3 linked regions of the Tamandua tetradactyla genome follow. The protein of the gene in region 1 purifies or fractionates together with the protein of each later gene. This does not show direct contact. Links are inferred from orthologs where the notes say so. Each region holds a gene or a part of one and is shown on either strand. Other genes may lie near its edges.

Region 1 (8,061 bases):
ATTAATTCAGCATGGTTTGCATGTGATAGGCAGGGGAGAGGAATATAAGAAATAAGGATTTGTTATTAAATAGGGACCAGATTTTAAAGGTCTGTGTGTCATGTTAAAGAGTTTAAATTTTCTCTTGAGGACAGTGGGGTCACTGAAGGGTTTAAAGTAAGGAGTAATATGAATAGATTCATATTTTAGAAAGATTACTAGCTACACTGAGGAGATTGGAGGCCAAGAAACTCTTCCGCGTCTGTTGAAGTAATGCAAGGTCAAGATGATGAAGGTATGAATTCATGGTGGATAGCTTATTTTGAGTGATGAGAACTAAGGCACTTGAGAGGCTACTTGTCCAAAATCACACAGCTGGCTAATATATAGTAGAGTGAGGATTTGAACCCAGTTAAATCTAGCTCTGAACTGAAACTGTGTTAAACAGTGGCAGTAGATGTTGAGGAACACAGATATCAGAGATTTTTAGGAGATAGAATTATCAGGACTTGGTGATTGGTTTGGTAGATGAGAGAGAGGCCGAAGAATGAAACTAGATTTTTGTCACTGACATAGGGTACTCAGAGGGAAGAGCACAAGAAGTTCTGTGGGGAGGGGATGGAAATTATTAGTTCAGGGTTAGACCTTGAACAGGCTCTAGGATATGTAAGTAGAGGAGATAGAGTAGGCAATTGGAGGATGCAGAGGGAGGTAGTAGGCTAGGACATTTGAGGAGAGTGAAGAAATGCTGAAATATCAATTGTAGAACAAGATGGAGAGCTTACTAAGCAAACGTGTCACAGGCAGTCTTGAGGATCCAGTTGAGGTTAGACTGGACTTGTACTGGCACCAATCAGAGCGAACGAGTAATTTTCTACAACAATCTTCAGCATTCTGGTTGTAGGAATGGAGAAGGGAGACAGTTGACTGATCGAGGATTGGGATTTTGCTTTGTGAATGAGATAAAAGGATAAGGTGAAGATGTTTAGCACTTTGACAAAAAAGTGACTGAAGTGTTAGTCTATGGAATGTAGACTGCCTAAGGGTTGAAGTGGAGATAGGGTTGATCACAGCGAGAATGTAGAGGGGGCAAGGGACTGAAGCTGTTTCAAGAGTGGAACAATTTGGTATAAGACAACAAGAGTATAATTAGTAGGCTTGATGAGTTCAGGCAGTCAAGGAACTGAGAAGCAGGTTTTATATGTGTGGTTTTCCCAAACAGTGATGTCTCTTAGTTTGAAAGCCAGGCCTGAGGAGGGAGAGGAAGAGCCAGGTACCAAACTATTGATGGTGTGGAGGTTGGTAAATTGCTAGAATGAGGAAGATTATAGGATATTACCACGTATCTTCAGAGAAGCAAGGGCTTTTACATGAAAGTGAAGGAGTAATCTAGAAATGGCTTTGAGGAAAAGAGGACACTGACTTGAAGGTTCATGGTATGCAAAGGAACCAGCAACTTTTGTGTGAGAAAACTGCAGGGAACAGTTTTTTTTTTTTTCCCCTTAACATGGGGAGGCACCGGGAATTGAACCCAGGTCTCTGGCATGGCAGGCAAGAACTCCACCACTGAGCCCAGTTTGCCCATCCTGCAGTGGGTGTGGGGGGGGGGTAGTATTTTCCAGGAAGAGCCAGATTTCAGTTAAAGCAAGGAGAGTTGAAGAACTTTGTGTGATGGATTGAGGAAGGAAGTTTTGATTATGAGGAATAGAGTTCCAGATGACCATGACTGATGGGAAGATCTCAGTTGGCTCTGCATTTGAGTAGTTGTGAACTCTGAATTTATATCCAAGATAAATTAGAGGTTCAGTTCCTATAAAGGTGAATGAGTACCAGTACATTCAGTCAGAATATGTTAGGCACCTACAATATCCCAGACACTATACTTTGGGCCCAAGGAAAGCCAGGTCTCTATCCTCAGGAGCTCAGAATCTTGTGAAATAGATGGACACATAAGCCTAGGTAAACAACAGTGAACTAAGTGTAGTTAAGTGCTCTGTGCAAGGGCACTGAGCCCAGCCCAGCAATGGGGTTGGGGGTTCAGAGGAAGCTTTTTGGATATAATGACTGAATATGAATGAAGTCAGGTAAAAGAAACAGGGATGTGGGGATGGGCATCCAGGCAAAGGCAAAGAAAAGCTAATAAAACAATAAAGTCTAAGTATGGGGAACCATGAGTAGTTCTTGCTGCTGAGATCTTCACTGTTAGGAAAGCATTGGTGAGAACAAGGCTAGAGTCATATCTTGGGGCATTTTGCAGGCCTTGTTTTGAAGAGCCACTGGAGGCTTTTAGGGAAGAGATTAAAAAATTAGTAAGCATTAAGATAAATGACAGCAAGGTAGAGGGTGGTCTTAAGGCTGACTTCTTTATTAGCCTACTCTCAGGCAAGGAAGTGGGGTGGATCCTAATAAGATTAAATAATAGCTTCCCATATTTCTGAAAAGGCAGGGCAAGTTCTCATGAAATTCTTAGCCTTGGGTTACTCAGTGATTTATCCTTACTCTACTTCTCCCTCTTCGAGCCCAGCGCCTTCATGGCTTTCCCTTTTAGCTATTCAGAGTCTCCAGTGTGGTGCTGTGCTCTAGTGTGGTTAGTTAACTACTTGAACTTGAATCAGTTACCCACAGCTTTGGTTTTTGAATTTGTAAATGAAATAATATGTTTTATTCCTTCAGCATTACAAGTTTGAATAATGAATTCACATTTAGGTGTAACTGTCAGCCTTTTCTGTTTTTTACATATTTGGGGTTGGGAGAAGCTGCTTAATAGTTTTTTTTTTTTTTTTTTACCATATTTTTTTCCTTATTAGTAATACATGTCCATTGTTGAAAATTTGAAAAAAGAGAAACAAATGGAAGAAAATAAAACACTCATAATTAACATCCCTCAGAGAAAAGTAGTGCTAACATTTTGTTGCATAGACTTTTGAATTCCTTCGGTGTGCATTTATGTATGTATATGTACATTTTAAAATAGAAATTCTCTCCCTAATCTTATGAAAACATGTTACCTCATGGAGATCAGAGGAAACTGGTCCAGAGAGTTGATACTTAAACAGGACTTCACAATACCTATCAAGGCCCAATTTTTTCCACTTATTACGGATTTTATACTGATGACTTGATTTCAGTATAATTATTTGGCCATCTTTGAGCCAAAAGGGACTTTTTTGTGTGTTTCCTCTTGGAATGCTGGGCTCTGCCTGTGTGCAGATACGTTCGTTACAAAGGATATTTTATAAACCTGACAACAGTTTTCCATTTAGTAGTTTGTTCTGGGTTTTTTCCTCCTATTGAAAATGTGTTAATAATAAACATGTCCTTATACAGTTTCAGCAGTATCATGAACAGCAGTATCACATGGTTTTGTGGTTTCTCAACCAAATTGCAGATTCCCTGAAGTAGGGACACGGTCTTAACATCTATAACCCAGAGTCCACAGTATGTGCTGAAATTCCAGATGAAAAGCATTTTGTTAGTTAGTTGATTGGTGGAATCCATTCATGCTTCCTTCCCCTTCTATCACACACAACAATCAGAATGACTGACATGCTCTCCTGCCTGGACTTATATCTAAAATTTATTTTGAGGGTGTTTTTGCTTTTCATGATTGCTATTTGAATGATAAACAAACATTTGCGTGACAGCCTCCTATTTATGTGCCAGGCTGAAATACTGAGGATACAAAGATGGATAAATAAATGAAGGCTCCTGGCTCAAGGATATCACAAAGTGTAAGTTAAAGCATTGTTGCACATGTACATAACTTTATCTTTTAAAAAGAATGAGACTGTGAAACACAGAACAGTAATAGCTTAAATATGAAAAATTTCCATAAGTTTTCCATAAAACTATTAGTTTAAAAATGTCCAGGGTGGGCCATGGTGGCTCAGCAGGCGGAGTTCTCACCTGCCATGCCAAAGACCCGGGGTTCAATTCCCTGTGGCCACCCATGCAAAAAAAAAAAAAATCACAAAAATAAAATGTACAGTAAAAATTAATCTCATGAAATATAGAGATAAAACTTTATTTTTTCCTTTGTCATAAAAGGCAGTATTTTTAATTGTCCAAACACTTGTGACACATCAGTGAGTTGCAAATTTCTTTTATTGTGCCTTATGTGCTAGGTAACGCCAAACCCTTTACATTCATGACATTAAATTTTCTCAACAAATGAGTTAGGTTTGTTATCTCTATATCATGAGAAACTCAGGCTCATATTCTGTAACGTGTCCAAAATCACCGAGCTATTTTTAATGGAATCGGCAGGTTTCAAAGCCTTTCTTGTAGAATTCCATCACATTCTCTTAAAAGACCATGATGCATTTTCTTCCAATTCTTTGTATCACCAGTTCTTCAGATAAAGTTTAAGTGACCGTCACGGATGGGCCACTTTTTCTCAACTGCTTGGATTATATCTTGTCGAGATCATGCAAGACAGGGAGTCCCTATTATTTTCTGATGTAGGCCTACGTGATTTGGGTGCCCCATCTAGTGTTCCCAAGCCCAGTTTAGGTGCCTTTTTGTACCTTCAGAACAAATGCCACTCGTCCTCTCTCCCACCAGTCTATAAAGCTTCCCCAAGAAAAGGTTAGTGTAATATCTCCTACCGAATCCTAGCACTGTTCTCCGACGCAAAGTGAATACTCAGAGATTGTGCGCTGAATATATGAGCACACACATGAACAACCGGACCCGACTGAATTCGGGTGCTTACCGAGACTCGTCAGTTTGGGCATCACCTTTCAGGTAGAAATATAAGAAGTTCAAAAAAACACATCTCGCGCGTCTGTACGCGAAAGGGCTTTGCACACTCGAGCAATCTAATACAAACACCGAAGAGGCGCCACTCATTTATCGGCTGGGGCTTACGAGAATCTGGCACGATAATACAAAGCTAACCTTTGTGGTCCTTTTCAGTTCTACCCTTTGGCAGGTGCCTTGTAGTCCAGGCGCTGTAAATGGAAATGGTTCATTCGCTAATCACAGGCTACGTCAGCAGCCGGAGCGTTGAGACACGCATGGGCCTCGCCTGCTTTGTACGTCCTGCTTCCGCCGGAAATGTCTTGATACGGGAAGTGACGAAAACTGGGTGGGCTAAAGAGGCAGTTCTATCTTTTCCTCTCCACGCGGTTGCCGAGTTTGGCTGGTCTACGCAGGTTCTGTTGAGTGATGCCGGGAAAACTCCTTAGTGACGTCGGCTTGGAATCAAATACGGCCATGGGAAAAAAGGAGACACAACGAAAGCAAAATGAGAAGGTGCCACGGAGGGCTGAGGGATCGGGGGCGAGGCAGGGAGAGGGACCGGGATGCTGAGGGGAGCGGGGCCCTGGAGTACGGGAGAGGAGGTACCCGGGCTGGGAGAGCGTGGCGCGCGGCGAGGAGACGGGGCGTGTAGTTTCGCCAAGAGGCTCTCGAGGGTGGTGGTCTCCAAGGGCAGTTCGTCGCTCTCGGAACTCTGGCTCTCTTCGGCAAGGCGCTGGGACCTCTGGCAACAAGGCCGGGGCAGATCCGATCTGGGGAACGGCAGATCGGGTGTCCCACGTGGTCTCCGGAGTCTGGGCCCCGTGCATGTGGTACGCAGAGTTGGACATTCACATTTGGCCCTTAGGTTGCCGGCTCAGATTTAACGACGGGCGTGAGCGTGGGCGGTGGTGTATCAAAGTCAGTAGAGGAAGTAGGGACTGACGTCTTAACTAAAGAAATACTAACCCTATTTGAGCACGTGGGGAGAGATTTTTAGAGGGCGGGCAAATGCTGGCGGCGTCTGCAGTAAGAGAAGTAGTTTGTCTTCTGGTGAGCAGCCCTTTGAAGAAGAAATAATTCAACTCCTCCTAATATTTACCGATCTAATTTGCTATGGAAATGTGACGAGAAGGGCTGTGGTGCTACCTGTACACTATTTTTTATATGGGCCAGTAGTATGTGAATTACCTTGACAACCGGGTACTTCTTTGATGCTGAATCCTATACCCACTTGAGTTTCTCTTCTGAGATGAGGTCAGTGAAAACACCAATTGTCCCTGAATTTGCTTTGTATTTGACTTACAATTTCCTTTCCTAGCTGTTTCTGTATCTTCCTGATGGGAGAGCATTTGGTATTGTGGGAAGCAGACAGAGTACAAATTTGTCCCCACAGATGGGGATGTAGTGGTTCTGGTTTACTTGTTTGAATCAGTTTGTGCGCTTAGGGAATTCTCAGATTAAGAGGAACCTCTTTGATTCCCGGCCCAGGCACTCCAAAAAAAAAAAAAAAAAAAAAAAATCAACAAATGGTGCTGCAGTAACGGAATATTCACATGGAAAAGAATGAAATGTGACCCCCACCCACAACATACCAAAAAAAAAAAAAAAAAGGAACATAATTAAACTTTCCCAAAGAGACCCATCTATTTGGTAGAACCAGGGAATGAAAAGTGGAGCAAAGTCTTGGGGAGAGACCAACTTTTTCCTCTGTTTATTAGAAGGGTGGTCACGTGGGAGAGAGGTTATCCATAGTCTGTGATTCTAAAACTGAGAACTGACGTTTCAGGAAGGTAAATTTCACTCTGATAGTTTCTGAACTTCCAGGGATTTGCTTGGGGCTCTGCCCAGGTTCTAACAGGTATAGCCTGTCCAACTAATTGTAATAAGTTTTCAGTAATCTGAAAAGTTGAATAGGGTCAGAAGTTTCAGGTAGGACCTCTAGCCGTATGTCTGGTTTGGTTTGGTGGTTTCACCCCTTCCATTTCCTTTTAACTTGTGCATCTGTGGTTTGCTGCTACTGTTGTTGAATTAAAGTATATCATTTTTACACATTGGCTGTGGGTCTTTATAGCTTTTTGGTTCATAAAATGTTTCTATGTAAATTCATTTGAGCTTGTGTGAGAGGTAAAGCAAATATTATTCTTGTTTTGCTTGAGGTGGAATTCTAGTAGGTACAAAAAGAAGGAATCTGTGTGACAGCATCCATTTGTGTACATACAACCCTATCGGTATTAATTTTGAACTGTGCTTGATCACTTTCTATAGTATTTAGTTTATTTCTTTTTTGTATTTTTTAAAAATTATTTTTTAGAAAGATAAAAAAGAGAAGTCAAAATCTGATAAGACGAAAGGATCAGCAGAAGAAAAGGAGGCTATGTCCCCCAAAGCAAAAAAAGTTAAAAAGGCAGGACCTTCTGACGTTGATATGAATTCTCCTAAATCCACAAAGGTAACAAAGAAGAAAGAGGAGCTATCTGAAAAAGACATTATTTCTCCTAAAATTAAAAATGGGAAAAAGAAAAAGGAGGCCTCTGAAAACAAAATTGTTTCTCCTAAAGTAAAAAAAATGAGTGAGGAACCTTCTGAAGAAGAAATAGGTGTTCCTAAGCCCAAGAAGATAAAGAAAGATAAAGAAATGAATGGAGAAATTGGAAAGAAAAGCTGTAAGCTGAATGGCTTTCCCCATTCTGGACTTGAGTCTAGTGAAGCTGGAAGTGAAGAAAGTAAGGAGTTAGAACAGGTAAAGTTGCACTGTTAAGGGGTAGAATGTATTTCTTTGTTTCAAAATGCAAAGCAATACCTACGAATACTATTTAATATGTGGGGTGGGAATTTGATGTGTCGGCATTTCATGAGTGGGGGCTGGGGTGGGCACCCTGACTTATCTCAGTTTATTAAATTGCATTGAGTTGGAATGCTTCCTCTGCAATGAGTAGATCTGTTTAAGCTTAGGGAAAGTCTTACAATCCTTGGTCTGCTGCTTATTTGCAAGTCAGTAAATCAATTGGAGAGGTATAGTTATGCAGGCAGGACTAGCTTCCCTCTAAGGGGTTTTGCCAAGTCATGATTAAGTGGAACTACAGAAAAGGTGTTGATTGATTGCATAAAAATCTTTTTGTTCAGACCATTAATTAACTTGAGTTGAATAGTATGAGTGAAGTTCTGCCTACTTGGAAGCTACTTTTATCTTTCAAAAACTTGGTAATCAAAATAAATTTAAATTCTGTTAAGTAATTTTTTACTTGCAGCAAGATCTTAATTTTTCCCCTCAATTATTAAAAATATTCTTGATATTCTCACAAGCAGTGGGGACAACAAAAGCAATAGGCTGAGTCCCCA
Region 2 (7,008 bases), on another chromosome or scaffold:
AATGCCTTCTCATCTTCTTGATGAAGTACTTTGAAGCACAAGTTCTAAATTTTGAGGTGGTCCCATTTGTCTATTTTTAATTTAGCTGCTTGCGCTTTGGGCATAAGGACTAGGAAACCACCACACACCACAAGATCTTAAAGATGCTTCCCTACATTTTCTTCTAGTTTTATGCTTCTGGCTCTTATATTTAGGTCTTTCATCCATTTTTAGTTAACTTTTGTATAAGGTGTGAGATAGGGGTCCTTTTTTATTCCTTCCCATATGGATATTGAGTTCTCCCAGCACCATTTGTTAAAGAGACTTTCTGTCCCAATTCAGAGGATTTGGCAGCCTTGTCAAAATTAATTGACCATAGATGGGTCTATTTCTGAACTCTCAATTCAATTTCATTAGTCAGTATATCTTTATTTCAGCACCATGCTGTTTTGAGCTCTGTAATATGTTTTAAAGTTAGGGAGCATGATTCCTCAATTTTGTTCTTCTCTCATGATGTTTTTAGCTATTTAGGGTCCCTTATCCTTCCAAATAAATTAGATGATTTTTCTGTTTCTGTAAAGTAAGCTGTTGGAATTTTGACTGAGACTGCTTTGAATTTGTAAATCATTGGGCAGAATTGACACCTTAGCAATATTTAGTCTCCCAATCCATTTACTTAGGTTTTCTTTTTTAAGCAATGTTAAAATTTCCTGCGTATATGTCCTTTATATCCTTGGTTAAATTTATTCCTAGATATTTGATTATTTTATTTGCTATTGTGAATGAAATTTTTTTCTTGATTTCTTCTTCTGATTGTTCATGGCTAGTGTAAAGAAATGCTATTAATTTTGGGGTGTTGTTCTTGTACCCTGCCACTTTGCTGGATTAATTAACTAATCCTAGAAGCTTTATTGTGGATTTTCTGTATAGGATTATGTCATCTGCAAATACAGAAAATTGTACTTCTCAATTTGGATGTTTTTTAATTTTTTTCTTGCCTTATTGCTCTGGCTAGAATTTCTAGCACAATGTGGAATAACAGTGGTGACAGGGGACAGGTCCTTGTCTTGTTTGTGATCTTAGGAGAAAAGCTTTCAGTCTTTCCCCATTAAGCCTGATATAACTGGGTTTTCATAGATGCCCTTTATCATGGTGAGGAGGTTTCCTTCTATTCCTAGTTTTCCAAGTGTTTTTATCAAGAAAGGGTGCCACATGGGACAGAAATCCTAGAATGAGCTGGGACTCAGCACCAAGGGATTGAGAAATTTCTCGACCGAAAGGGGGAAGAGACAAATGAGACAAAATAAAGTGTCAGTGGCTGAGAGATTTCGAACATAGTGGAGAGGTTATCCTGGAGATTATTCTTACGCATCATACAGATACCACCTTTTTAGTTAGGATGCAACAGAGAGGCTGGAGGGAACTGTCTGAAAATGTAGAGCTGTTTTCAGTAGCCATGTTTCTTGAAGATGATTGCAGAATGATATAGCTTTTACAACGTGACTGTGTAATTATGAAAACCTCGTGTCTGATGCTCCTTTTATCTATGGTACAGACAGATGAGTAAAACACATGGATTAAAAATAAATAAATAACAAGTATTTAGTAGACTGAAATGCTAAATGTTAAAATAAATTTAGTAAATTGAAATGCTAGGAATTACTGAGAGGGGTAAGGGGTATGGAATGTATGAATTTTTTTTCTGTTTTCGTTTTATTTCTTTTTCTGAATTGATGCAAATGTTCTAAGAAATTCATCATGATGATGAATATGCAACTATGTGATGATATTGTGAGTTACTGATTATACAACAAGAATGGAATGATCATATGGTAAGAATGTTTGTTTGTATGTGGTTATGTATCATAAATTTTTAAAAAATTAAAAAAAACATTAACCAATGTTACCAGTCAAAAAAAAAAAAAGGGGTGCCAGATTTTTTTTTTAAAGCAATAAATAGTTAAGTTTATTAAAAAGAAGGAGAGAGAATACATATTGGAGAGGTTAATGTGGACATGCCCAAGGGAGGGATGCCTTTTATTTTTTTTCATAGTAGCCATTCTAGTGGGCGTGAAGTGGTACCTCACTGTGATTTTTTTATCACAATCAATTTTTTCTTTTTTGTGAAAAATAACATACAGAAACAGCAATTAATTTCAAAGCACATCACAACAATTAGTCGTAGAAGAGATTTCAAAATTTGGTATGGGTTACAATTCAAGGTGCTAGATTTTGTGAAATACCTTTTCTGCATCAACTGAGATGATCATGATCATGTTTTTTCCCCCCTTCATTCTGTTAGTGTGGTGTATTACATTAATAAATTTTTTTATTTTGAACCACTCTTGAATACCTAGGATAAATTCCACTTGATCCATTTTATATGCTTTTAATGGACTGTTGGATTCAGTTTGCTAGTATTTCATTGAGGATTTTTGCACCTCTATGAGATATTGGTCTATAAATTTCCTTTTTTTTTTTTGGTATCTTCATCTGGCTTTGGTATGAGAATGATTTTGGCCTGGTTGAATGCTTTAGGGAGTGTTTCTTCCTATTCAGTTTTTTGGAAGGGTTCAAGCAAAATTGGGGTCAATTCTTGGAATGTGGATAGTATTCCCCTGTGAAGCAGTCTGATCCTAGGCTTTTCTTTATTACTGATTCAATCTCTTTATTAGTTATTGATTTGTTTAGACTTTCTATTTCTTCCTGAGTCAGTGAAGGTAGCTGGCGTGTTTCCAGCAATTTGTCCGTTTCAACTAGGCTATCTAATTTGTCGGCATACAGTGGTTCACAGTACTGTCTTATAGTCCTTTTTATTTCAATGAGATTGGTAATAATGGCCCCCTTTTTATTTCAGACTTTAGTCATTTGTATCCTCTTTTTTTCTTTGTCAGTATAGCTAAAGGTTTGTCAATTTGCCAGTATTCTAACCTCATCTCCCAGTCCTCTCTGCTGCACATCCCTACTCCAGCCACTTACTACTTCCAAACACCACCATGCTTTTTCACCTGAATCCGTGCAGTCTTCTTGGCCTAGAAAATAGAAAAGGCTAGTTCTTACACTTGTTCAGATGACAGAACACCTGACATCCCCAATGCTCTTTTCAGAATACTAAATGATATTGATACATCAAACTTAACAATTCATAATTCTGTAATAAATATAATTCAAAGAAACATAATGAGAGAGAAAGAGAAAGAAAAGAGGAAAAGCCAAGGAGCAGAGCTGTGGGTATACTACGCCTCTATTTGTGTAGAAGAATAAAAGACTAAATTTAACCCCAATCATATCCATAAAGAAAATAATAAAATACAACTACTGCCTAAACACGTCTAGGACATCTCTGGAAGGTTACAGGGGCCACTGGTAACAATGGTTACCTCTGGGGACATGGGGCTGGAGGCAGACTTTCTACTGTATTCCATCCTATCCGTTATCCAGCCTCCACATTTATTCTATACGATCTTACCTCCCGCCTCTCAGTGAGACCGGAAGCTCTTAAGATACCGGTCTGGGTCATCTTTCGATCCCTCACACCGCTCCACGACGCGTCTCGTACTTCCCATGCATTATTACTTCACTGGATCTTCGCCCTCCGGTAAGGAGGCACATTGCCGTCATTCTCACGTTTGAGGAGTGTGGCTCGGAAGTCTAAGCGGTTCGCCCAAGGTCCCAGAGCAGGTGGGTGGTGGACAGGGATTCCAGGGCAGGCGTGCGTGATTCCGGAGCCCGCGCCCGTCCCGCAGTCGCCCGCGGCCTTCCCAAAGGCGGCGTCCAGGCAGAACTGGTGACCCACGGGAGCGATGGACAGGGCTCCTCTCCTGCTTCAAGGCGGTTTCTCGACCTTTTTTCGTGTAAGAATGGGAAGAAGGTGGCGGCACGCCTACCCGGGCCTCCAGGAAACCGGAATAGGACAGGAGAGGTGAGGGCCTCGAGTAAGCCCCTCAGCCCGCAGGCAGAGCGTGCAGCTCACTCAACTCGCTCCCGCCCGGCGGCGCCCAAACCAAATCCCGCGCGCTCCCGGAAATGACGCATGGGCTCGGGTGCCGCCCTTCCACTTCCGGCTTCAGGCCTAGGCTCGCGTGTGTGAGGGAGAAGCAGCTCGGTGAATCCCTGCGCACGTTTGCACGAGGCGAAAGGGCCATGGAGGACGTATCTTCGACCCCAGGCTCAGCCTCGACTCCAGAGAGCCCTACCGAACCCAAGCGGGAGTCGCTGGTGAAGAAAATGCAGGTGAGTGGCCCCTGGAGTGGACCATTCTGAAGCGTGGTGTCTATTGGCCTGTATCCTGTGGGGGTACCCGGTCAGGACCCGGGGGCCTGCTTGCGGGCTCCGCGCCTCGGATGGCCCCGGCGCTTTGGAGGGGTCGCTTGCTCCGTGTTTTTATCCGCCTGCTTCCCACAGTCCTGCGGCTTGGCCCCCTTTTCTTGGATTGCAAGTGTAATTGGGGTTTGAAGAGACACCTGGCTTTCCTTTCCAACCGTTTATCTTGCCAGGTCATTTAATTGTGCAAACCTCTTAGCCCTTTTTTTAAATGGGTTCTTCCGCCCTCTCCTGTCCGGGATCATAGATGGCAGTGTATTGTAAAGCGCTTTGTCCAGGGGTCTGGCTGGTCGTTAGCTCTCAGTAATTATTAGTTGGAAAAAAAAAAAGAGGAGGGGCAAATACTAAATTAGATTGAGATCAACTCTTTTTTTTTTTGTATCTCCACTTTGCAGATTAAAAAGGCGGTGAGAGCTCTGTTAGAAAATTCCAAGTCCAGGAAAAACGCTAACGACTTGCTTTTGAATGAGAAAGAAAGTGTCTTCTTAATGGTGGTATTATGGAAAATTCCAAGTAAAGAACTGAGGGTCAGATTGTAAGTTTTGATTTTCTATGTTTGCTTTTTTTTTAATTAGAGAAGATAATACATTTACAGAAAAATCAGGTAGAAAATACTGCGACGTTTGCTCTTTTTTATCTGTTTGGTCATTGTATGTAATAATTTCAACAATCCCAAGTTTGTTTCTAGTGGAAATTTTGCAAATTCAAAGTGAAAATCTTATATAAAATAAGTAAACGTGCCTAAAAGAACTATAGAAATTCAGACGTACTATAATTTCCTAGAAATATTCCCAGTTTTCTGGGGGCTATGGATTCTATTGAACTAGTTTTTGAGATAAAGATTAAATTAAGCAGCTTTTGTGTTTTAGCAGAACATATTATATTTTCATGTCAAGCTATTTCCGGGCTAAAATAACTGAGGTTCTGGGACTTGTCTTTTATACAGAAAAGCCATTGTGATTATACATTCTTATTGCCAGTAGTCTTAGGTCAGAGATGCCCTCTCTGTATTTGCCAAATTTAGCAAATAAAATAACGAATAATTCTTTTAGTATTAGTATGTCCCATGCAATACCTGGAACATACTTACACTAAGAAATTATTCCATATTGATAATGAAATTCAGATTCAACTGAGTGTCCTATATTCTAATAGGCAACAAAGTCAGCTTTGCTTAAGAAAGATGTGGTTAGGATAACTTCTTTTGTTTTTCCCATGAAGAAGGGAGGTGAATTTCTCAAATTCTGTCTAACCAGATTACCTTATTTATTGCTTTATGAATTCCATGTGGATTCTTTATTCCACAGCTTTGCTGAAGCTTCTGGAAAGCCTTCTCACCTCCTCTAAGATATTTTCCCAACCTCTTGGTGATTTCTAAGTGCCACATGCCAGCTTTGCATTATGCACTTTTTCTCTCATTTGACATGTCATGCCCTTGTATTGCTATCTCTTGTTAAACTAAGGAAATGTTTCCTCAAACATGTAGGCCTAGGCAGTGCCTTAATCCTGTTTTTATTATTATTTTTTAAGACGCAACGCAATATTCAACACGTTTGTTGGTTACTTTTGGTTTGTTCCATGTTTTCTGTTTTGACTGTTGAGTTAAATTGTCTGTATAGCTAAGAATTTCAAATACATGTATATAGAGAGAACACATTAATTGCACATGCAGTAATTTGGGTGTCTGTTTAGATTTTAAATCTTCTATCCCGAGTGCTTATTCAGTTTTGGACCTTTTGGTAGTTGTGGTGATGTCTTTAAATCTTAAATCTCTTCTCTGTATCATGGAAAGCTGAATATATATTTAAATATTGTATTTAGTACAGTATTTTCTTAAATAGCACAAATGAAAGTATTGAAATGACAGTAAATTTATTGTGTATTTTGCAGAATATAAAGATACATATTGTCTGTAATAATGTTTTATTCCTTGGCTCCTTCTCATGTGTTTTGCAGGTCTTTGCCTTACAGTATTCGGTCAGATTTAGCAGAAGTCTGTTTATTCACCAAGGATGAGCCCAATTTAACTCCTGAAAAGACAGAACATTTCTACAGGAGTCTTTTGAACAAGCATAAAATTGAAACAATTTCTCAGGTAGGGAGCAGGTTAATATTTTCCAGACAAAGTATTTAATTCAGTTGAAGTGATAAATGATGCATTGTATATTTCCTAGTATTTTTTCCGTTTTTCTCTTTTTAATTTAATTTTGGTGGTTTTAGGTAAGTGGCATTCTATCTTCCTTAAGATGGAGGGGGCTGTCGAGATTTGTTGACCTCAAAGTTGAATGTATACATCAGTAACCTTTATGTTTTGTAGATTACACAAATATGTTATTCTTCAGAGCATCCTGTATTTGCTTCTGATTTGGCACTTAGCATCTTGTTTGTAGTTGTTGATTTACTTGTCTTTATCACTCATCAGATGTAAGTTTCTTCAGATGGGATCCCATCTTACTTGTCTCAGCATCCTCAGCATTTAGCCTGGCACGTATTTGGCACTGAAGTGTTTACTTAGGTAGGTTAGGTGTAGCTTGAGGACATTTTAAAATCTGAATAGAGTACAAATTATTGCCTAAATATTGTTCTTGTTGTACAGGGTCTTAATTTTTTATATTTTACTCCTGTGTTTTCTAGATTATCCCCCTCCGAACTTTAAAAAAGGAATATAAACCGTATGAAGCCAAGCTCCGTCTCTTGGGTAGTTTT
Region 3 (6,929 bases), on another chromosome or scaffold:
CCAAGGTCTCCTCAGCTAACTATGAACAGGTTACCAGAGATTGCTTTGTGGTTCTCACTTTCACAAGCATCACAATTTGACGTGGGAAAGGACTGATCTCCAATAAACTGACTCATCATAACCAACATGAGACCCTCACATATTTTTCAGAATATCAATGTATTGATTTACAGTAAGAAATATAACCAACCGGCAGGCCGATATACTCTGCTCACTGGCCAGCAGTTTCCTTTCCCAAAGACAAACATGGATTGAAGAGGTATGCTCGGATGGTTGATGTGGTAAGCATGGCAACAGCACAAAGGCAGCTGAGAAGCCAAGGACTTGGAGCTGTGGAAACCAGTGAGACAGAGCACATCAGTCAGGGTGCCAGCATGAAGGAGAAATCAAAGAAAAAAAGAAAGATTAAAGTCCCAGATATCAAGGGACTTTAATGAAAAAACTTACTGAGGGAGAGCAGATAAAAGTCCCAAGAAGGGATGGTAAAAACAGCCCCACAACTGAAGGAGCAAGGGGAGAAAACAGTCCTGGAGGCCAGCGAGAGTTGGGACAAGAGAGGAGGTCACTGAGTGGTAGACACAGATGAGGAGGGATGAAACTATGCCAGAGGAGAGCAGCAATGCAGGGAGGGTGTGGGGGAGGAGATGCCCCCACCACTCTCTCCTCTCACTGATAGGTTTCACTGGCTGGCCCTCTGGCAGGCAGTAAGGGAGCCACAGAACACCTCAGTGCAGAGAAGGAGAGAAAGGATCCCAGGACTTCAAAGAGAATATAAACAGGGCATGACTACAGAAACTGTGAACAGTCTCTCTTCTAACTGGATATGACTGCCCCATTGACCAGATAGTTACACAAACCAGAAACTTACGTTCTTGAGTCTGGACCCAAGAACTTTCCTGCGTAACTTCCTGTCTGGACTAGTGCTAGCAACACTACCTCAGCCTCCTGGATGTACCTTTCTAAGGCCTCACAGCGATGGCTGTCAAATACAGTCTGGCCAATTAGCCTTAATCACTGAAGACAGACTTCATGGTAATGCAGCTTAATGAGGCAAGTGCTGAATCCATCCAGAGGACCTCCAGGCATCTGAACCAGCCCCTGCACTGGTGTCTGATACAATGGCTCAGCTCAGATCTCCAAAGTCTGATGAATAAGTCCCACCAAACCTGAAATGAAAGCAGTGCTAGAAACAAACCCATCTGTCAACCTAAAGAACCTAGGGAAGTGAACACACATTCAGCCACCTCTGCAGACACATTCAGCTCCAGGCAAGCTTTCCACCATGACAAGATCCTTCACTAACCCAAACGTGGACTTAATCTTCAGAGCAGACCTCTTTAATAATCAAAAGTATAAAATTCTCCCACCATGGAAGAGAATGAGAAGCTAGTAAGAGATACTCCAGAGAGCTGGCCACCCTCACACCAACTCACCCATGTCCAAGTAATTCATTCGAGGCCACCTGCCCTTTTTATGTCTTATCTGAATCCCCAATTTAATTATATAACCTATAACAGTATCTCAAAAATTATGTATCATTACTTTCTAACGAGGGACGCTGTATCTGCTGAAACATTGTTGGAGTCAATGGTGATCGTTAAAGATAGAAAAGACTCACTTTTTTCTACAATCTTTAATTTCTGGAAGCTTTCCAGTACCTCCCCATTTAGTATTCTGGGTAAGAAGTCCCGTATTTGCATCACTTCAGTTGTTAGACGTTCCAGGTCCTTCTTCCTGACTTTAACGAATTCTTCTTTAGTTTCCACGTGCTAAAAGAACAAGCAGATCTTATGATCATACCATTTCTCTTCAAATGACTAAAACTAGTGGCCCACTTCAGCTTACTTCCTTCTCTTTAATACCTCTGGTGCTACTGTTCCAGAAATTTATCTTTATAATATGCCTTCTGCTATATTACATGCTGAAGGTAGAAGCCCTGATCTTCAAAGTGAGAACCAGATATGAGAGAGGGGTAGGACAAGAGTCCTACTCCTAAAAGCCAAAGAAAATGCCAGTAACTTTCTAGTAACATTTTGGCACTAGGTTAATCAAGAGAAAATGGGAAATACTTCTGCTGGATTCCTACTAGACCTGTCAAGCCCTCTGCTGGACACCGTATTTAATACTCAGTGAAACCCTTCAGGACTTTCCAGAGCAGAACACCGAGGCATGGAAGGCCAGGTGACTCCCCAGCGTGGGACACTGGGGACCCGAGGGGTCAAAGCCAGCATTTACAGAGCCCCGACATCCAAACTCCAAGCACGTCCTCCTACATCACAGGAGGAAGCACTCTGTCATGTTTCAACCAGCGTCCAAGTCCTGGTCCGATGGAAACTGGGTTTTCAGACGCTGCGAGGGCCATTCACCTCACCCTCTCTGCCTCTCGCGCTCCCTCCAACTCCCCACACCCGCCCCACCGCAGCAGCGGCAGACATCACCTCGACCTCACGGCAGCCACACCACGTTCCCGCCCGCACCCGCCCGGCCCCCGCTGTCCGTGGAGAAGGCCCGAGGCCTCCCCGACCACGGAGCGGCTCCCGAGCGCCGTAGAGGTCCCCGGCCTCGTCACTGACCCGGCAGGCCTCCTCCGAGCCGCTCGCCTCGCCCATGGCCGCGCCGACCTCCCCGCAGTGCGCCTGCGCGGCGCCGTCTGCCGCCTTCCGCGGAAAACGCGGGAACGCGGCCGCGGCCGATGCTCGGTACGGACAGCCGTGAGGTTCAAATGTCGTGGCTTCTGCGCCGCATTTGAGAGGAGTGAGAGGAGTGAGCTTCTCCGGCTTAGCCCGGGCTATGAAGTTGCTAACTGCAGAGTAAAAGGAAAGTGAGACTTTGGTGTAAATATCAAGTCACCTAAAGTGAGCCGGTCCTTTCCTGCAGAGTGCGGAAGGCTATCAAGGGGCAACTGCCTGCCCGCAGCCTGCTTCCCGGGAAACCTCACCGCAGCAAACTGCGCACCTCCCGCTCTACTCCAACCCTTTCCTATTAAAGGTTTCACCTTTAGGACCCTTCGGGAGGGCTGCACACCATAGGAAGTTCTGCAGCCAGCTAAGTAAATGAAATAACAAAGATGAAAACCGTCAAATTGGACAAATAGCCTCGTCCGTTGACCTGCCCCAGTGCGCACCCTGGACTCGCAAAATTTGAGCTGGCCTGTGGTTTTGAAAGGTTCCCGGGGTTAGGACCATTCCCCTTTCTCCCCTCGCTTAGGCTAGCCAGAAGGCATTGTTCACAGTCCCGTTTAACTGTGGACGTTTTCCCAGGCTGGCTGGAGCAGGAATCAAGTCGAGACGTTTGCACAAAACCCGAAATTCCTGCCTTTGCGAGCAGGGAGAACAGGCGTGCGGGCACTGCTCGGGCCGGGTAGCCGCGGTACTGCTGGACGACAGACCGGCCTGCCCGCCCTCAGGGTCCTCCAAGGGCTGCCCCGGACGGGCTTGGTGCCGACACCCCCAGTGCGGGCCGCCGTGCCCCCCCTCACCTCTCCCTAGTGTCGCGCGCGGAGGCCCTACACTTAGGAGCTCGGCTGCACGGTGCCCCGTAGGTCGTGTGCTGAGCGTGTGGGGGGTTGGCTAAGTGGACCTAAGGAGTCCAGAAACTGAAAACTGACATCCGTCTCTTCCTGACGAAGACGCAGCCTTGGCTACCGCGCCGCCAACGGTCCTGAATTTTGGCGACCGAAAGGCGGCGAAGGCGCGAAGATGCGACGGCGCGGCGCACCCAGGAGGGGCGGTTCGCGCCGGAGGCCCTGACCAAAGCAGCGCGGGCTTCGGAACGCCCCCTACGAGGCCGCCGGCGCCTTTGTGACGCTATCAGCCCGCTGACGCTGACGCCGCCTCCTGCGCAGGCGCGGCGCGGGCCCGGCTTGGCGGCGACCGCGGCGTGAGGCTGAGCGACCGCGGGCTGGACTGCCCGGGATGCTCCGGCTGGCGCCATGGTCCCTGCGATGCAGCCCGCCGAGATCCAGTTCGCGCAGCGGCTGGCGTCCAACGAGAAGTGGATCCGGGAGCGGGCGGTGAAGAAGCTGCGCCAGTACATCAGCGTGAAGACGCAGAGGAAGACAGGTGGGCCCCCGGCGCTCAGCCACATGGCGGGCCGGAGCCGGCCGCGGCGGCCGGGAGGGCCGGGGACACGCCGAGCCCAGCAGGGAAAGGGGCTTCGAGCAGGGATTCGTGACTTCTTTCGTGGGCGTCCATGTGTCCAATCCATGTAACCGCCTTTTTACTGTATCCAGTCCTATGTTGATGTTACCGCTGAGCAGACAGGCCGGAAGTGGGTCACTGATTTACTGAAAGTCACATTCAGTAAACGGGGAGGCTGAGATGAAACCCGGGTCCGTCTGATTCCCATTCCCACGCCTGCACTTTCAGTCATTACATTCACCCGCTTTTATTTCGGCGTGCTCTTCGTTGATTGATTCATGCCAGCGTTTGGTCAACATGTTTAGGTGCTGGAAATACAAGAGAGGAGACAGACAGAATAGCTCCCCTCAAAGAACTCCTAGGAAAAAAGCTAGAGAAGGTGACAAATACAATAGAGCTTATATAAGTGTAGTGAGGAAAATGAAAATCACTTAACAGCGAGAAAAAAGGAGAGAAGCAACTCTTCTTCATTGGCTGTTTTCGGGGCCTCGCTGGGGTGATGTTCAAGTGAGGTCCAGAGGCAAGAGGAAGACAGCCCTGCAGAAAAGCAGGAGAGAACTTAGCATGCCCTAGACCTGTAAATGAGGAGGCTGGGGTGTCTTGAAATGAAGTTGGAAACACAGGCAGAGGGCAGATCGCATAGGGCTTTGTAGTTTGGATTTTAGCTGTAGTAGAGTGCCAGCGAAGGATTTCATTTACCAGATATAGAACATGTGCCTGTAAACCCTTGAGTGAGCTCAGAGTGTATGAACTTGTTCTTGAGTGAACATATAGGTGTGCACATGGTGCAATATGCTATAGTAAGATAAAGTTTGATTTAATCACTGCTAACGTTAATGCCTTTAACATCTGCTTGAAAGAGTAGCTATTATCTATCTCTTCACCACGTTCTTAGTTTCTTTTATTTTGAAGAGAAACACAGAAGACTACTCAGGAAAAATTGAATCGAATTTTAGTTCTGATAAACAGAAAGGGGAAAGAAGACCAAATTCTTAACTTCAGTTCTCTTAGCTTCTCTTACGGTTTCAGCTATCCTATATACACCTGAGGTTACAAAACCTAAATTTCTAGCCCATACCTTCCCTACTTGCAGCTCAGATAACCCCCACTAGCCTGACATCTCTGCCTGGATTTCCAACAGTCACCTAAGACTCAGAGTGCCCCAAACTGACTCATTTTATTCCCTCCAAAACCTGTTATTTTCTGTTGTTGCAGCTCTCCCTTGTCTGCCTGCGTTATTTTATTTTGGTTGCTAGTTCTCCACCATCGACTCAGACTCCTCACTTTTACTCATCCTCTCCCCCCAGCCTACATTGAATGTCCCTTGGTCCTACTTGTTTCACCTCCTAAATGACCACCCTGACCACAGGCCCACTTTATCTTACCTGGAGTCTTTGCGTACTTATTTATGTCCCTCTGCATCCCCATTGAATCCATCTCCACTAACCAGTTCAGGGTAATCTTTTTATTTATTTATTTATTTATTTTGCATGGGCAGTCACCAGTTTGGCAGGCAAGAACTCTGCCTGCTGAGCCACCATAGCCCACCAGGGTAATCTTAAAACAAATCTGATCCCTGTAGTACCCTCGAAATTCAGGGTCCCTTCTAGCTACACCTTGACCACTTCATGTTCTATCAACAACAATCTATTCTTGGTTCCTCATATGTGACACACCATTTCTCACCTCTTTGCCTTTTTTTAACACAGCAGAAAGCTCACCCCCTTTCTGCATTTGGCACTCAGTTCAGTATCACTTCCTCCAAAAAGCCTTTCCTAACACCCCTACTCCTTTATGATTCTAAAATACCCAGTGTATTGTGTATGGTCTCTGTTGTGGCACTTAGCTACATTGCCTTTTAACTATCTCTCAGCGTGTCATTCTTCCTCCAAAACACCGTGACCTTCCACTGTTTCCTTAGCTGAAAGTCAGATCACACCCAGCTGTACGAGGACCTGGCATGCTGTCCGTATTGCACCCTAGAATGGGTCTGAAATGGACCAGACAAACCCTGTTGCACAAACAGGCCTTTGGTCAGCAAGCCCAGGGTCTGCAAGATGCTAAAATGATGCAGGGTATGAGGCTAGTCGGTTTACCATTGCCCCAGGGTCCTGGCTTAGTACCCATCACAGCTAGAATTACTTGTGGTATACCTCTTGTTCTGCCCCCTAATCTATACTGCAGGGTGTATAGTGGGCCCTCAAAAAAACTCTGCAAAGTGAATATCGTAGGCACAGTGATAACGGGGCAGGAAAAAAAAAGTGCCACAGTTCCCCTCCATCAAAATAGAGACACAAGTTTAAAAATAAATTGACCTGATATTTGAATCTCATAGACAGACTCGCATTTTTTGCATCTTGTCCTAGGCAAGGTAAAGAAAATCTGAAATTTCGCTTATACTAGTACATGTAGCTGTTTATCAGCAGCAAAAATAGATAGCTTTGTGATTTCAGAAAGTAAATTAGGAATCCCTGTACTGCTTAAAGCAACCACACATTGCCCTAGTGCTTTAACTGTTTGTGCTGAGCATTTACAATAAAGGAATAATCATTGTTTAGTGAATAGTTTCCTAGCTGCTAAAATAAATACCATACAATGGGTTGATTTCAACAACAGGGATTTGTTGGCTTATGGCTTTGCGCCTACAAGAAGTCCAAAATCAAAGCACGAGCAAGGCGATGCTTTTTCCCTGAAGACTGGCATTCTGGGACTGGCTGTCAGTGATTCTTGGTCCTTGGCTTTTCATTTACATGGCAGTGCACATGGCAACATCTCCTTTCTGTTCTGGGT

What was found.
Region 2: the proteins of DDX21 (region 1) and RSL1D1 purify together in Homo sapiens (affinity purification with mass spectrometry; 3 studies listed by BioGRID and IntAct, with this or other methods). This does not show direct contact. The link is inferred for Tamandua tetradactyla from reciprocal best matches to the Homo sapiens genes DDX21 and RSL1D1.
Region 3: the proteins of DDX21 (region 1) and RRP1B purify together in Homo sapiens (affinity purification with mass spectrometry; 3 studies listed by BioGRID and IntAct, with this or other methods). This does not show direct contact. The link is inferred for Tamandua tetradactyla from reciprocal best matches to the Homo sapiens genes DDX21 and RRP1B.

The regions. Positions count from the first base shown.
Region 1 is NC_135339.1:28,236,704-28,244,764, reverse strand, and holds the start of DDX21 (nucleolar RNA helicase 2), read left to right. Parts: upstream 1-5,040; 5' UTR 5,041-5,148; coding exon 5,149-5,235; exon of another isoform or gene 5,236-5,642; intron 5,643-7,033; coding exon 7,034-7,462; intron 7,463-8,061.
Region 2 is NC_135349.1:45,367,362-45,374,369, forward strand, and holds the start of RSL1D1 (ribosomal L1 domain-containing protein 1), read left to right. Parts: upstream 1-3,990; 5' UTR 3,991-4,005; coding exon 4,006-4,212; intron 4,213-4,697; coding exon 4,698-4,837; intron 4,838-6,258; coding exon 6,259-6,397; intron 6,398-6,936; coding exon 6,937-7,008. UniProt on the Homo sapiens protein: Regulates cellular senescence through inhibition of PTEN translation. Acts as a pro-apoptotic regulator in response to DNA damage.
Region 3 is NC_135336.1:101,251,949-101,258,877, forward strand, and holds the start of RRP1B (ribosomal RNA processing protein 1 homolog B), read left to right. Parts: upstream 1-3,856; 5' UTR 3,857-3,931; coding exon 3,932-4,061; intron 4,062-6,929. Other genes in the region: HSF2BP (heat shock factor 2-binding protein), read right to left, coding at 1,619-1,769, 2,574-2,609. UniProt on the Homo sapiens protein: Positively regulates DNA damage-induced apoptosis by acting as a transcriptional coactivator of proapoptotic target genes of the transcriptional activator E2F1.